Linked DNA regions of Rattus norvegicus. The protein of the gene in region 2 purifies or fractionates together with the protein of the main gene of each other region. This does not show direct contact. Links are inferred from orthologs where the notes say so. Each region holds a gene or a part of one and is shown on either strand. Other genes may lie near its edges. The genes, in order: Acot9, Kcmf1 and Abhd10.

The links.
Region 1: the proteins of Kcmf1 (region 2) and Acot9 purify together in Homo sapiens (affinity purification with mass spectrometry; 3 studies listed by BioGRID and IntAct, with this or other methods). This does not show direct contact. The link is inferred for Rattus norvegicus from reciprocal best matches to the Homo sapiens genes KCMF1 and ACOT9.
Region 3: the proteins of Kcmf1 (region 2) and Abhd10 purify together in Homo sapiens (affinity purification with mass spectrometry; 3 studies listed by BioGRID and IntAct, counting the BioPlex papers as one, with this or other methods). This does not show direct contact. The link is inferred for Rattus norvegicus from reciprocal best matches to the Homo sapiens genes KCMF1 and ABHD10.

Annotation. Positions count from the first base shown.
Region 1 is NC_086039.1:43,956,104-43,959,755, reverse strand, and holds part of Acot9 (acyl-coenzyme A thioesterase 9, mitochondrial), read left to right. Parts: intron 1-2,934; coding exon 2,935-3,105; intron 3,106-3,407; coding exon 3,408-3,445; intron 3,446-3,652. UniProt on the Homo sapiens protein: Mitochondrial acyl-CoA thioesterase. Catalyzes the hydrolysis of acyl-CoAs into free fatty acids and coenzyme A (CoA), regulating their respective intracellular levels. Regulates both mitochondrial lipid and amino acid metabolism.
Region 2 is NC_086022.1:106,452,723-106,456,374, reverse strand, and holds part of Kcmf1 (E3 ubiquitin-protein ligase KCMF1), read left to right. Parts: intron 1-744; coding exon 745-919; intron 920-1,953; coding exon 1,954-2,236; intron 2,237-2,484; exon of another isoform or gene 2,485-2,607; intron 2,608-3,652. UniProt on the Homo sapiens protein: E3 ubiquitin-protein ligase which accepts ubiquitin from an E2 ubiquitin-conjugating enzyme and then transfers it to targeted substrates, promoting their degradation by the proteasome.
Region 3 is NC_086029.1:68,542,618-68,546,758, forward strand, and holds the start of Abhd10 (palmitoyl-protein thioesterase ABHD10, mitochondrial precursor), read left to right. Parts: upstream 1-1,317; 5' UTR 1,318-1,322; coding exon 1,323-1,437; intron 1,438-3,584; coding exon 3,585-3,768; intron 3,769-4,141. UniProt on the Homo sapiens protein: Acts as an acyl-protein thioesterase that hydrolyzes fatty acids from acylated residues in proteins.

The DNA.
Region 1 (3,652 bases), on a different chromosome or scaffold from region 2:
AGAAGAAAAAGAAGCAAATACACCCAGGAGGAGTAGAAGGCAGGAAATAATCAAACTCAGAGCTGAAATCAACCAAGTAGAAACAAAAAGGACCATAGAAAGAATCAACAGAACCAAAAGTTGCTTCTTTGAGAAAATCAACAAGATAGATAAACCCTTAGCCAGACTAACGAGAGGACACAGAGAGTGTGTCCAAATTAACAAAATCAGAAATGAAAAGGGAGACATAACTACAGATTCGGAGGAAATTCAAAAAATCATCAGATCTTACTATAAAAACCTATATTCAACAAAATTTGAAAATCTTCAGGAAATGGACAATTTCCTAGACAGATACCAGGTATCGAAGTTAAATCAGGAACAGATAAACCAGTTAAACAACCCCATAACTTCTAAGGAAATAGAAGCAGTCATTAAAGGTCTCCCAACCAAAAAGAGCCCAGGTCCAGACGGGTTTAGTGCAGAATTCTATCAAACCTTCATAGAAGACCTCATACCAATATTATCCAAACTATTCCACAAAATTGAAACAGATGGAGCCCTACCGAATTCCTTCTACGAAGCCACAATTACTCTTATACCTAAACCACACAAAGACACAACAAAGAAAGAGAACTTCAGACCAATTTCCCTTATGAATATCGACGCAAAAATACTCAATAAAATTCTGGCAAACCGAATTCAAGAGCACATCAAAACAATCATCCATCATGATCAAGTAGGCTTCATCCCAGGCATGCAGGGATGGTTTAATATACGGAAAACCATCAACGTGATCCATTATATAAACAAACTGAAAGAACAGAACCACATGATCATTTCATTAGATGCTGAGAAAGCATTTGACAAAATTCAACACCCCTTCATGATAAAAGTCCTGGAAAGAATAGGAATTCAAGGCCCATACCTAAACATAGTAAAAGCCATATACAGCAAACCAGTTGCTAACATTAAACTAAATGGAGAGAAACTTGAAGCAATCCCACTAAAATCAGGGACTAGACAAGGCTGCCCACTCTCTCCCTACTTATTCAATATAGTTCTTGAAGTTCTAGCCAGAGCAATCAGACAACAAAAGGAGATCAAAGGGATACAGATCGGAAAAGAAGAAGTCAAAATATCACTATTTGCAGATGACATGATAGTATATTTAAGTGATCCCAAAAGTTCCACCAGAGAACTACTAAAGCTGATAAACAACTTCAGCAAAGTGGCTGGGTATAAAATTAACTCAAATAAATCATTTAAATTTAGAAGCACTTTGTATATAATAGTGCTGCTAAATTTTTCGTTTCCTGCTGCTTTCTCTTTTGTGTTCTACTTTAGTTTTCTGTTTTCCGCTTTTGTCTTTTAAAAACATTTTCTTCCCTTTTACCTTTTATTCTGCTTTGCATACATTGTTTGGATATCATTCATTTTTTTCTCATTTGTCTCTTTTCTAAAACTAAAGGAAAGGGGAGGGAGAGGGAGAGGGGAAGAGAGGAGAGAGACTATGAGAACAAATATGAATCTGACAGGATAATGAGACTCTGAAGTAGTGTTATAACCCTGCCTCATCTCTCTTCCCCTTTCTGGCTTAGTGTTGAATTCAGGATTTTACACATGCTAGGCAAGTATTCTACTCCCAAGCTATGTTGCTAGTATGAATAAGCCTTCTAAAAGATAAAACTTTTTATGTGTTTTCTATGCATGGGTATCATGTGTGTTCAGTGTCTGAGGAGGCTAGGAGGTGGCATCAGATCCTCTGGAAATATAGTTACAGATGGTTGTGAGTGCTGGGAAGCCAATCAGAGTCCTCTAAACAAGAAGCCACTGCTCTTAAACACTGAATGATAACTTGATTTCTGAAGAAACTTTTTGGTCAGTGTCCCAATTAGATGTACCTATATCAGTAAATATGCATTTTTATATATATGGCTAGCCCCCAGCTCTCACAGTTGGTAGAGCATGAGACTCTTACGTACAAGTTTAAAAATGTCATTAGAAATGCTCAGTTTCACACATGGTATGCACTCATTGATAAGTGGACATTAGCCCAAATGCTTGAATTACCCTAGATGCCTAGAACAAATGAAACTCAAGACGGATGATCAAAATGTGAATGCTTCACTCCTTCTTTAAAAGGGGGAACAAGAATACCCTTGGCAGGGAATAGAGAAGCAAAGATTAAAACAGAGACAGAAGGAACACCCATTCAGAGCCTGCCCCACATGTGGCCCATACATATACAGTCACCCAATTAGACAAGATGGATGAAGCAAAGAAGTGCAGACCGACAGGAGCTGGATGTAGATCGCTCCTGAGAGACACAGCCAGAATACAGCAAATACAGAGGCAAATGCCAGCAGCAAACCACTGAACTGAGAATAGGACCCCGTTTGAAGGAATCAGAGAAAGAACTGGAAGAGCTTGAATGGGCTCGAGACCCCATATGAACAACAATGCCAAGCAACCAGAGCTTCCAGGGACTAAGCCACTGCCTAAAGACTATACATGGACTGACCCTGGACTCTGACCTCATAGGTAGCATTGAATATCCTAGTAAGAGCACCAGTGGAAGGGGAAGCCCTGGGTCCTGCTAAGACTGAACCCCCAGTGAACTAGATTGTTGGGGGGAGGGCGACAATGGGGGGAGGATGGGGAGGGGAACACCCATAAGGAAGGGGAGAGGGGAGGGGGATGTTTGCCCGGAAACCGGGAAAGGGAATAACATTCGAAATGTAAATACGAAATACTCAAGTTAATTAAAAAAAAAAGAAATGCTCAGTTTCTCCAGGTGGGTCATGAGAGAGGAGTGAAGGGATTGAAGATAAGGCAGGCATAGATCTCCCTTGCTTCCATTTTTTATGTCTGACTATCCTGTTTGAGGGATGGGTACTGGAATTGTGGGTCAGCACTATTCTTGTTTTATGAAGCCTTGCCTTTTCTTCTCAGAGACCATGTAAAAGCAATGGAGGAAAGGAAGTTACTTCATAATTTTTTGGCTACATCACAGAAAGCCCTACCACCGAGGAAAATGAAGGACAGTTACATTGAAGTCCTCCTGCCTTTGGGTTCTGACCCTGATCTACGAGACAAATATTTGACTGTTCAAAATACAGTGAGGTAACACTGTATTATATTCATCATTGTCATTTGTTTTAATTTTTTCTTTTAAAACAACTATAGTGAGATACAATTCATAAACTTTGTAATTCATCTATTTTAAAGTGTATGACTGTATATGAGTGTTTCAGTATAGTGAAAGAGTTGTGACTGTATATGAGTGTTTCAGTATAGTGAAAGAGTTGTGTAAATATCACTAAAGTCATTTTTATAGTCCTTTTATTATTTTAAAGTGTATTATGGGATTTTAAGGGGAAATCATTGTGATTTTTATTTAATTCATATTTTGCTTTGTTTCACAGATTTGGCAGGATTCTTGAGGACCTTGATAGCTTAGGAGGTACTGGTATTTGTATTCCTAATAACAGTTATGGGTAGACTGTGATTCCATGACAGAAAGGGCCATTTTATTTTACCTTTTTAATCTGGACATAGGAGGACATAAAAGGACAAACAATATTTTTCATTGTCATATTGTTTTTATTCTAAACAAAGAGTTCTCTTCAATAGAGTTACCATTCAAATGAGCCTTATTTATGATGATTTT
Region 2 (3,652 bases):
ATTTCTTATCTTTATGATTTAGGTGGCTAATTGCTGCACAAGACCTTGCTCAGTTTGGTTCACATTCAATCCTGAGAAGAATAAGGCTTCTAGCAATCTGCTTGAAGCATGTTAGATTAATGTGTATCCAGTGATACAGCAATTCAGGTATATTCTGTTTAGCAACAGAGCTGGGAATAAAAGTTGAAGACAGAAATTAAAGCGGACATTGAAACAAGCCACATTTACAGAATTTAGATTATTCAGCTTGCTCCTTTTCATTGTAGAGACTGAGTGTCTTATTTCTTGATACATAAAATCCAGTGTTAAGAGCACCATAGATCTGTGACCAGGCAGCTCTTTTGACCTCGCTCTGGCAGTGTTCAGGTCTAGAACCTGGAAGAAAGTTCTTGGCCTTCAGAACATATAGAATCTATACATTGCTTTTGTATTATATGTATGTATTGTATGATTGTATTTATCTGGTTTTTTTGAGTCTGGCCTCAAACTCCATTGTTTTCCTGTCTTTGCCTCTGAGTTAGGATTACAGGCATGCATCGATTCAGGATTACATCATGCCTAGCTTATGTCTGTTGTTTCATGTTATCTTTTTTAGGATAAACGAGCCTCATAGAGTTGTGACATTTATATTCTAAGCTAAAAGTACTATTTTAAGCTGCTCACAATTTAGGACTTCCCAACAACTTTCATTTTGTTTTTTCTTCTTTTTGTAAACTACTTATCCTTTCCTTAACCTTGAGTTATGATGAATCGAGTGGTGTTCGACATGTACGTAGAATGTTTCACCCTGGTCGGGGGTTAGGAGGCCCTCGTGCTCGTAGATCAAACATGCACTTTACTAGCAGTTCTACTGGTGGACTCTCTTCTTCTCAGAGTTCATACTCTCCAAGCAGTAGGGAAGCCATGGATCCTATAGCTGGTAAGTTTGTTTCCACTTCTTAAAGGCAAGGGCAGAGGTTGGGGAGCTCCTTTAAAGATGGTTTGTGTAGTTTATGTTTTACTTTTGCTTCTAGTCCTGTGCGTGGATTCCTTCAAGTTTAAGTGGACATCATAAAGTAATCCATGTACTACTGCATTTCTCAAAGGCATTAGGGGATAAGATAACACAGAGGAAGGGCTTTAGGAAAGATTTCAGAGTCCTTAGAATCCTGTGATTCCACCTTAAGGACTTAGGCACTCAGTAAGTTCTTGGGAGGAAAGTAGGAATGTGTCCCTCCTCACCATGATTAAGAACATAGTGATTATTGAACATACTGAAGGAGGATGTTACAATACCTTGAACAACTCCACTAAAACAAGAGTATGGGTTTTACCAGGCCAGAGTCAAGCGCTACAGTGGAGAGGAGGCAGAAGCCAGAATACAAGAACCACATTTATAAACGCTCCAGACTCTGAGGTTTCATCCTGCTAACTCCTCTGATCAAATGAGCAGAGATTTATGAGTGCTGATACCATCATGCCAGGCCCTGATCCAAGAACTGGGAGTAAAGAGTAGACTTTCATGCTTTCATGGTGTTTCCCTTAACAGTTCTTGATTATGATTGGACCTGCTCTTGAGTCTAAATAGTTTTTGGGTTTTTTTTTTTGTTTTTTTGTTTTTTGTTTTTGTTGTTGTTGTTGTTGTTGTTGTTGTTGTTGTTGGGTTTTTTTTTTTTTTCCGGAGCTGGGAACTGAACCCAGGGCCTTGCGCTTGCTAGGCAAGCGCTCTACCACTGAGCTAAATCCCCAACCCTGAGTCTAAATAGTTTTTAAAGCCACCTTTTAAGTTCTGTCTGAAGCAGGCTTAGTTTTATGTAGGTTCACATAGGTGTTGGGTCCTTGGCAGAACTTGGAATATGTTGCGTGAACTTGCATTGTTTCACAACACTTCGATTTTCTCCACTGACAAAATGGTAACGAAGCACTAAGTTTCCCTGTGTCAAGTTGATTGATTATATGCGTTTCCATTGGCAGAGCTGTTATCTCAGTTATCAGGAGTGAGACGTTCTGCAGGAGGACAGCTTAACTCTTCAGGCCCTTCCGCTTCTCAGTTGCAACAACTGCAGATGCAGCTGCAGCTTGAGCGGCAGCATGCGCAGGCGGCCCGGCAACAACTGGAGACTGCTCGCAACGCAAGTCGGCGCACTAACACAAGCAGCGTCACCACTACGATCACACAGGCCACGGCCACAGCCAACACAGCCAACACAGAGAACAGCCCGCAGGCCCTCCACAACTCCCAGTTCCTGTTAACAAGGTATTTCATTGACTAGTGTGGCTGGGCTGGAGAGAGGATGTTTTGTTGACACTGTCCAGTCTAATGAGCTCTTTCCTTTTGTGTGTATAACTTCATGAAAAACTGTCTTGGATTAAAGCATTACAGCTCTCCAATTAAAATACATATTTAATATTCCCCTAGGAACACAAAAACTTACTGTTTCAGATAAAGTAAATGTTGGTGTTTGTGTTTACAAGGTATTACGGGGTGAGTGTGTGTGTGTGTGTGTGTGTATATCATCGTTAAAAATATTTTTCTTTGTTAATTAAACTTTGGGACATTGAAATTGGCTGAGGGAAATAAACTGAATAGAGAATATTACTCTATTCATATACTTCTAGGCTACATAAACAAATACAATAAAATTTTTAAAAGTTATTAAAAAGAAAAACTTTAAAAAATATTTTCTTTCCCATACTACACATAACACTTAAAATGCTGTATCATTTCACTTATATTTATACACCTTTATTAGCTAATTTATTTAATAATGTCTGTTCTAATCTTCCATTAAAGTCTGCTGAAACATTAGAACAGAAGAGGGCTTAATGGAGATGGTGCAGTGGGTAGTGTTCAGTGCATGAGGGCCTGAGTTCAGATCCTCACACCTAAGTAAAGAGTATTCTGTTGTTCCAGCCCTAAGAGTGCCCACCTCTAGCCTTCAGAAATACGAACAGGTACACATACCTGTGTCTACACATGTGCACATGCATGTACCACAAGTATAGATATATAGAAGAACAAACGCTTTCATAATATGGGGGAGGGAGGAGTATATGTGATTTCCCAAAATTAGATTTAAATTCTTAGGATTGTTACCCAAAAGTAACTTTAGAAAATGGCTTACCATGGTATCATTAATACTCATCACATATAGCAGACCATTTATTCCACTGGTGGAAGTTTTCATGTATTTCTAAAACTACCTTGAGGGCTAGGAATGTAGTTCTGTTATAGAATGCTGACCTTACATACACAATGATGCGCAGTCTCTAATCCTCGCACTTGGCTTGTAATGTCAGCACTGAGAAAAATCAAGGATATCCTCCCACATTATGAGTTTGTGGCCAGCCTGAGACACATGAGACCCTATCAAAGGGGCTGAAGAAGTAGCTCAGAACTTGGAGCCTTGCTGTTTTTCCCTGAGGAGACCTGGCTTCAGTTCCCAGCACCTAGATGGCAGCTCACAGACTGTCCAGTGACCTGACTTCAGAGGTTCTGGCAGCCTCTGCTGGCCCCTTCAGGTACCAGGCGTGCACAGATGCACATGCACACATGCCAGCAGACACTCATTCACATACAGAAGTCTTTAAAAAGAGTAACACGAGGGCGGGAGAGCTGGCTAGCAGTTTAGAGCACTGACTGCTCTTCTAGAGGTCCTGAGTTCAATTCCCG
Region 3 (4,141 bases), on a different chromosome or scaffold from region 2:
AGGCCCCTGAAATTATTTTGAAGGATGTCAGAATCCAAAGACCCTAGTATCACAATTTCTTGAATTATTTTTCTATTGCCACTGATTACTACACACACACACACACACACACACACACACACACACACACACACACACCTTGCTTTTGTCTTTACAAAAACTGTTCTTTTAAGATAATACACAGCCTTATGAACTCATGTTGAAGGGAGTCTAGCCAGCTTGAGCAGGCAAAGATGACTTTGGAAGTCCTTGCCCTTCTCATTCATTTCCTCTGCTTTGCTGGAAACTGTAGCCCCCAAGGTCTATTTCCTTATTTGGCCACTTCCTGCCCACTACCAAGTCTGAAAATCAAAGTATTTAAGTCCAGCAAAAAGCCCCCTGTGGCTGTCTTAGTCCTAATTAATATGTCCAATCAAAATTAAACACCTCATCCTAGCATGGGTCTTATCCTTTTACCTTTATAATCTGCCCTTTTCCTATGGACCGCATCTGTCTTCTCTCTATCCAGAGGCAGTCCTATGTCCCCCATCTGGAACAAATACCCCTTCCTCCTCTCTTGTTTCCTCCTCTTTCTCTCTCATCCCCCATGTCCAGAATTTGTCTTTTACTCCCTGCCCTTTGTGTCTGTGGGACAAATCTCTATGTGGTGGGAACTTGGTCTAGGGGTCCCTTCAGTGTTCTTTTTATTTAGGATAGTCATAAAAGGAATGGTAGTTCAAAGAGTACTGAAAAGTATGTGCATAATAAACAAACATGGCCAGATTGCCTGACAAAAGACTTTAGGTTTTCACCCATAGAGCAACCATATGTGAATGAGTGTTTTCAGTACTTTTACTTGTGGCTGCTCATTTGAATGTTTAGCAATCTGGTGAGTGGGAAAATGTTTGGGAGAGAGCAAAGAATGTTTGATGCGACTCCAATAATGTGACTGGCCTCTTGAATTTTTACCCCCATAGGAGTAATCAAAGAAGCCTAGCAAATTTTATCACAGGTCTTTGGGTCCTCCGGATGGTAACACGGTTTCCCATTTACAAACGCTCCATTTGACCATAGCTCCTCTCTGAGATTTCTGCAGCTTACTGCGATGAAAAACGGCCAAGGACGCCTAATGTCACAAGCCAAATGCCCTTTGGGGTACACAGAACAAACTAGTCGAGACAGCCACACGCCAGACAGCACCCTTGCGCATGCGTCTCCTCGGGAGAAACAAATCCCACGTGATGCAAGTTAGCAACCTCCGCCTTCCTGCGGACTGCGCGTGCGTGACCTCGGGACCGCGCGACCGGTGCACGTCTGTAGCGGGCGCAGGGGTAGCTGGGAAGATGGCTGCCTGGGTACCTTGTCGGAAGTGGGGCTGGGCGGCTGTGTCCTTCGGCCGGCACCGAGGCCTGATCGCGTCACTTGCTCGGAAGCCCCCATGGGCATGGTGGCTCTCAGGTTAGTGTAGGGGAAGGTGGGGTACTGGGGTTCTTTCGAAGGCCTGGCGATCGTCCAGTGCCCGCCTTGCGGGCTCGGCGCGCCATTCAAAACTGCTCTGGCTTTCTCGGCACTGAACACTTCTGGGGAAGGCTGGGAGAGTCTACTCTTCTGCTGAGGCTCTGGGGCGTTCTTGGAGGTCCTTGTGTTTACATTGCGATTTAAGGAGCTCCTGCGTTCTCTGAATCAAACCTCAAGACCAGAAAAGAAAAGTTAAGATGTGCATTTGATGTATTTGAATATTAACTGCTTCTAGGGCTTTACCATATTGTGTCAAATGTTTGGCCTTGCCAGTCGCGGACTTAAGGAAACAAAGTATGTATATACAAGTAAATGCCATCTTTGGACCTAACATCTGATTTTTCTTGTTGAAAAAATTGGAATTACTCTACAATGGAAACTAAAATTTGGATCAATAATATTACATACATAGAATACATGATTTGTGTGTGTATAGTTATCCTTGAATAATATCCTTGGAATAGTAATGCCATTATATAAATTAACATGTTTAATTTTTTTAAAGTATGTAATCAGATTAGCTTAACACTGTACACACACAAAAAAAGAGTATTATGTAATGCTAGGAAGTATAGTTAGTTAACAAGAGGAACATATTTTTTTATCTCTTTAGCAGTATTCATTAACAGTGTATACATTAGGCTTTCAGCTAATCTATATTATATATAGATTGAAGGTTGAATCTGTTGTTTTACAGCTAACAAACATCAATTCAGTGTAACCGCCTGAAATGAAATTTGTTGGGGGGGTTATGCCTGAAACGGGATAAAAAAAGTAGTTTGAGTGTTTAATTAAAGAAATGGGATATGAACATTAATGTTGATACAATCTATTGACCAGCATAAACTGATCCCCAGAAACCCTGTTTTAAATCCAGTTTTAAAGTTGGTGCATTTTTCCATACACTAAACGTTTGAATCTATTTGACACAAATAAGGGAAAACTTCAAAACTTTTGATTCTTTGTGTGTGTTTGGGGGCAGGGTATGGTTTGTGAGACAGGGTTTCACCACCTAGCCTCTTGTCTTTCCTACAACTCAGTGTACAGAACAAGCTGACCTGGAAATTGTAGTGGTCCCCCCCTGCCTGTGGCTCTCTACTCATTTTTTTTCTCAAAAATTAAAAATGGGAAAAAACATTTAGCAGTACACAGGGGAGAGACCCAGAAGCTTTTACAAGCAACATGAGTTAAAGTAAGACTGCTTAATTTTCTTTTTTAATAAGGGCTAGCAAAGATGGCTCAGCAAAGAAAGCCCTGTAAGAGTCACCATTTGTCCCGACACATTTAGATAGTTCTAAGGTATATGTGTTCCACTTACAAAAAGGCAGCCAACCAAAGTAGAGCATCAATTACAGAGCTGTTTGAGAAATATGTCTCCAAGAATGATAATTGATCCAAACTTATTCTTAAAGGAACGGCCGTGTGAAACCCCACATGTAGGAAGTTACGGTTTGTTACCACTTGCTTGCCATTTCTGGGGAGGATTGCTAAGTGGTAATCGGGTCAAACACAGCTCAGTGCTTCGGATATCATTCCCTCCTCAATAAATACTTTCAAGACTCGTGATTATTTCACCTCCGATTCCCAAAACCTGGGGTTGCAGGAGTCAGTTTCCCTTTGAAATAATTTTGTAAAGGCAGGGGAGAGAAAGAAACAAAACACACCTCCACTTCTTTCCTCCTATTCATCTGACCAAAGTAGAAGATATGAATTCCTGAAACATCTTTAAAACGGAGAAATCTCAGGGGAAAAGCTGAAAGTGATGTATTTAAATTTAAATGTTCATTGCTAATGTTTAGGATAATCCCATTATGCCAACATGAAGATATTTTTTGATGAGTCTCTTTTTTGTTTTACTGAAATTGCTATTTCATTCTGTATTTTGGGAAAGTATGATTGGGCCTTCCTCTAAGAAGTTAAAAATTTTTGATGCAACCTTAAAACTAAAAATCTCCTACTTGAAGCTTATTTTGACTTTTCCTGTCAAATGCAGCGGGATAAGAAAGTTAAAATGTGAAAATACGTGTGATTTTTTTTTCCAAAAATAATTTTCAAAGTATCATTGACGCTTTGTGTACTTTGTTTAGCTTGCAGACAAAAGACAACACTCTCTTTCCTTAAACGACCAGAACTTCCAAGCCTGGCTTATAAGAGGTTAAAGGGCAAAAACCCAGGAATTATCTTCATCCCTGGTTATCTTTCTAACATGAATGGTAAAAAGGCAGTAGCGATTGAGGAGTTTTGCAAATCTATAGGTCACGCCTTTATCAGGTAGGAACAATACATTTCAGCGAATATATTGCCATTTAGTATTGAAATTAAGTAAATGAAGTAAAGGCCAGTGTTTTAGTAAATGGAGTTATTTAATAGTGTGCAGACTTTGGTTTTATGAGTTAGGGACGTTAAGGTATGGGTGCTGTGCTGGCTAGATTGGCAGCAGAAGGTAGAAGGGAGCTAGTAACTTAGTTCTCTAGATAAAACAATCTGTGTGGCAAAGGAATATACTTGTTGGATTTCTTGTAATCTCCTGTGATGATGGGTTTTCCACTGAAGACAAAAGACTTATTTGATCACTGTTTATTACTTTCTAACATGGGTGCTTGAGGCTGAGTAGTGATAGTATAGTATAGTACAGTACAGTACA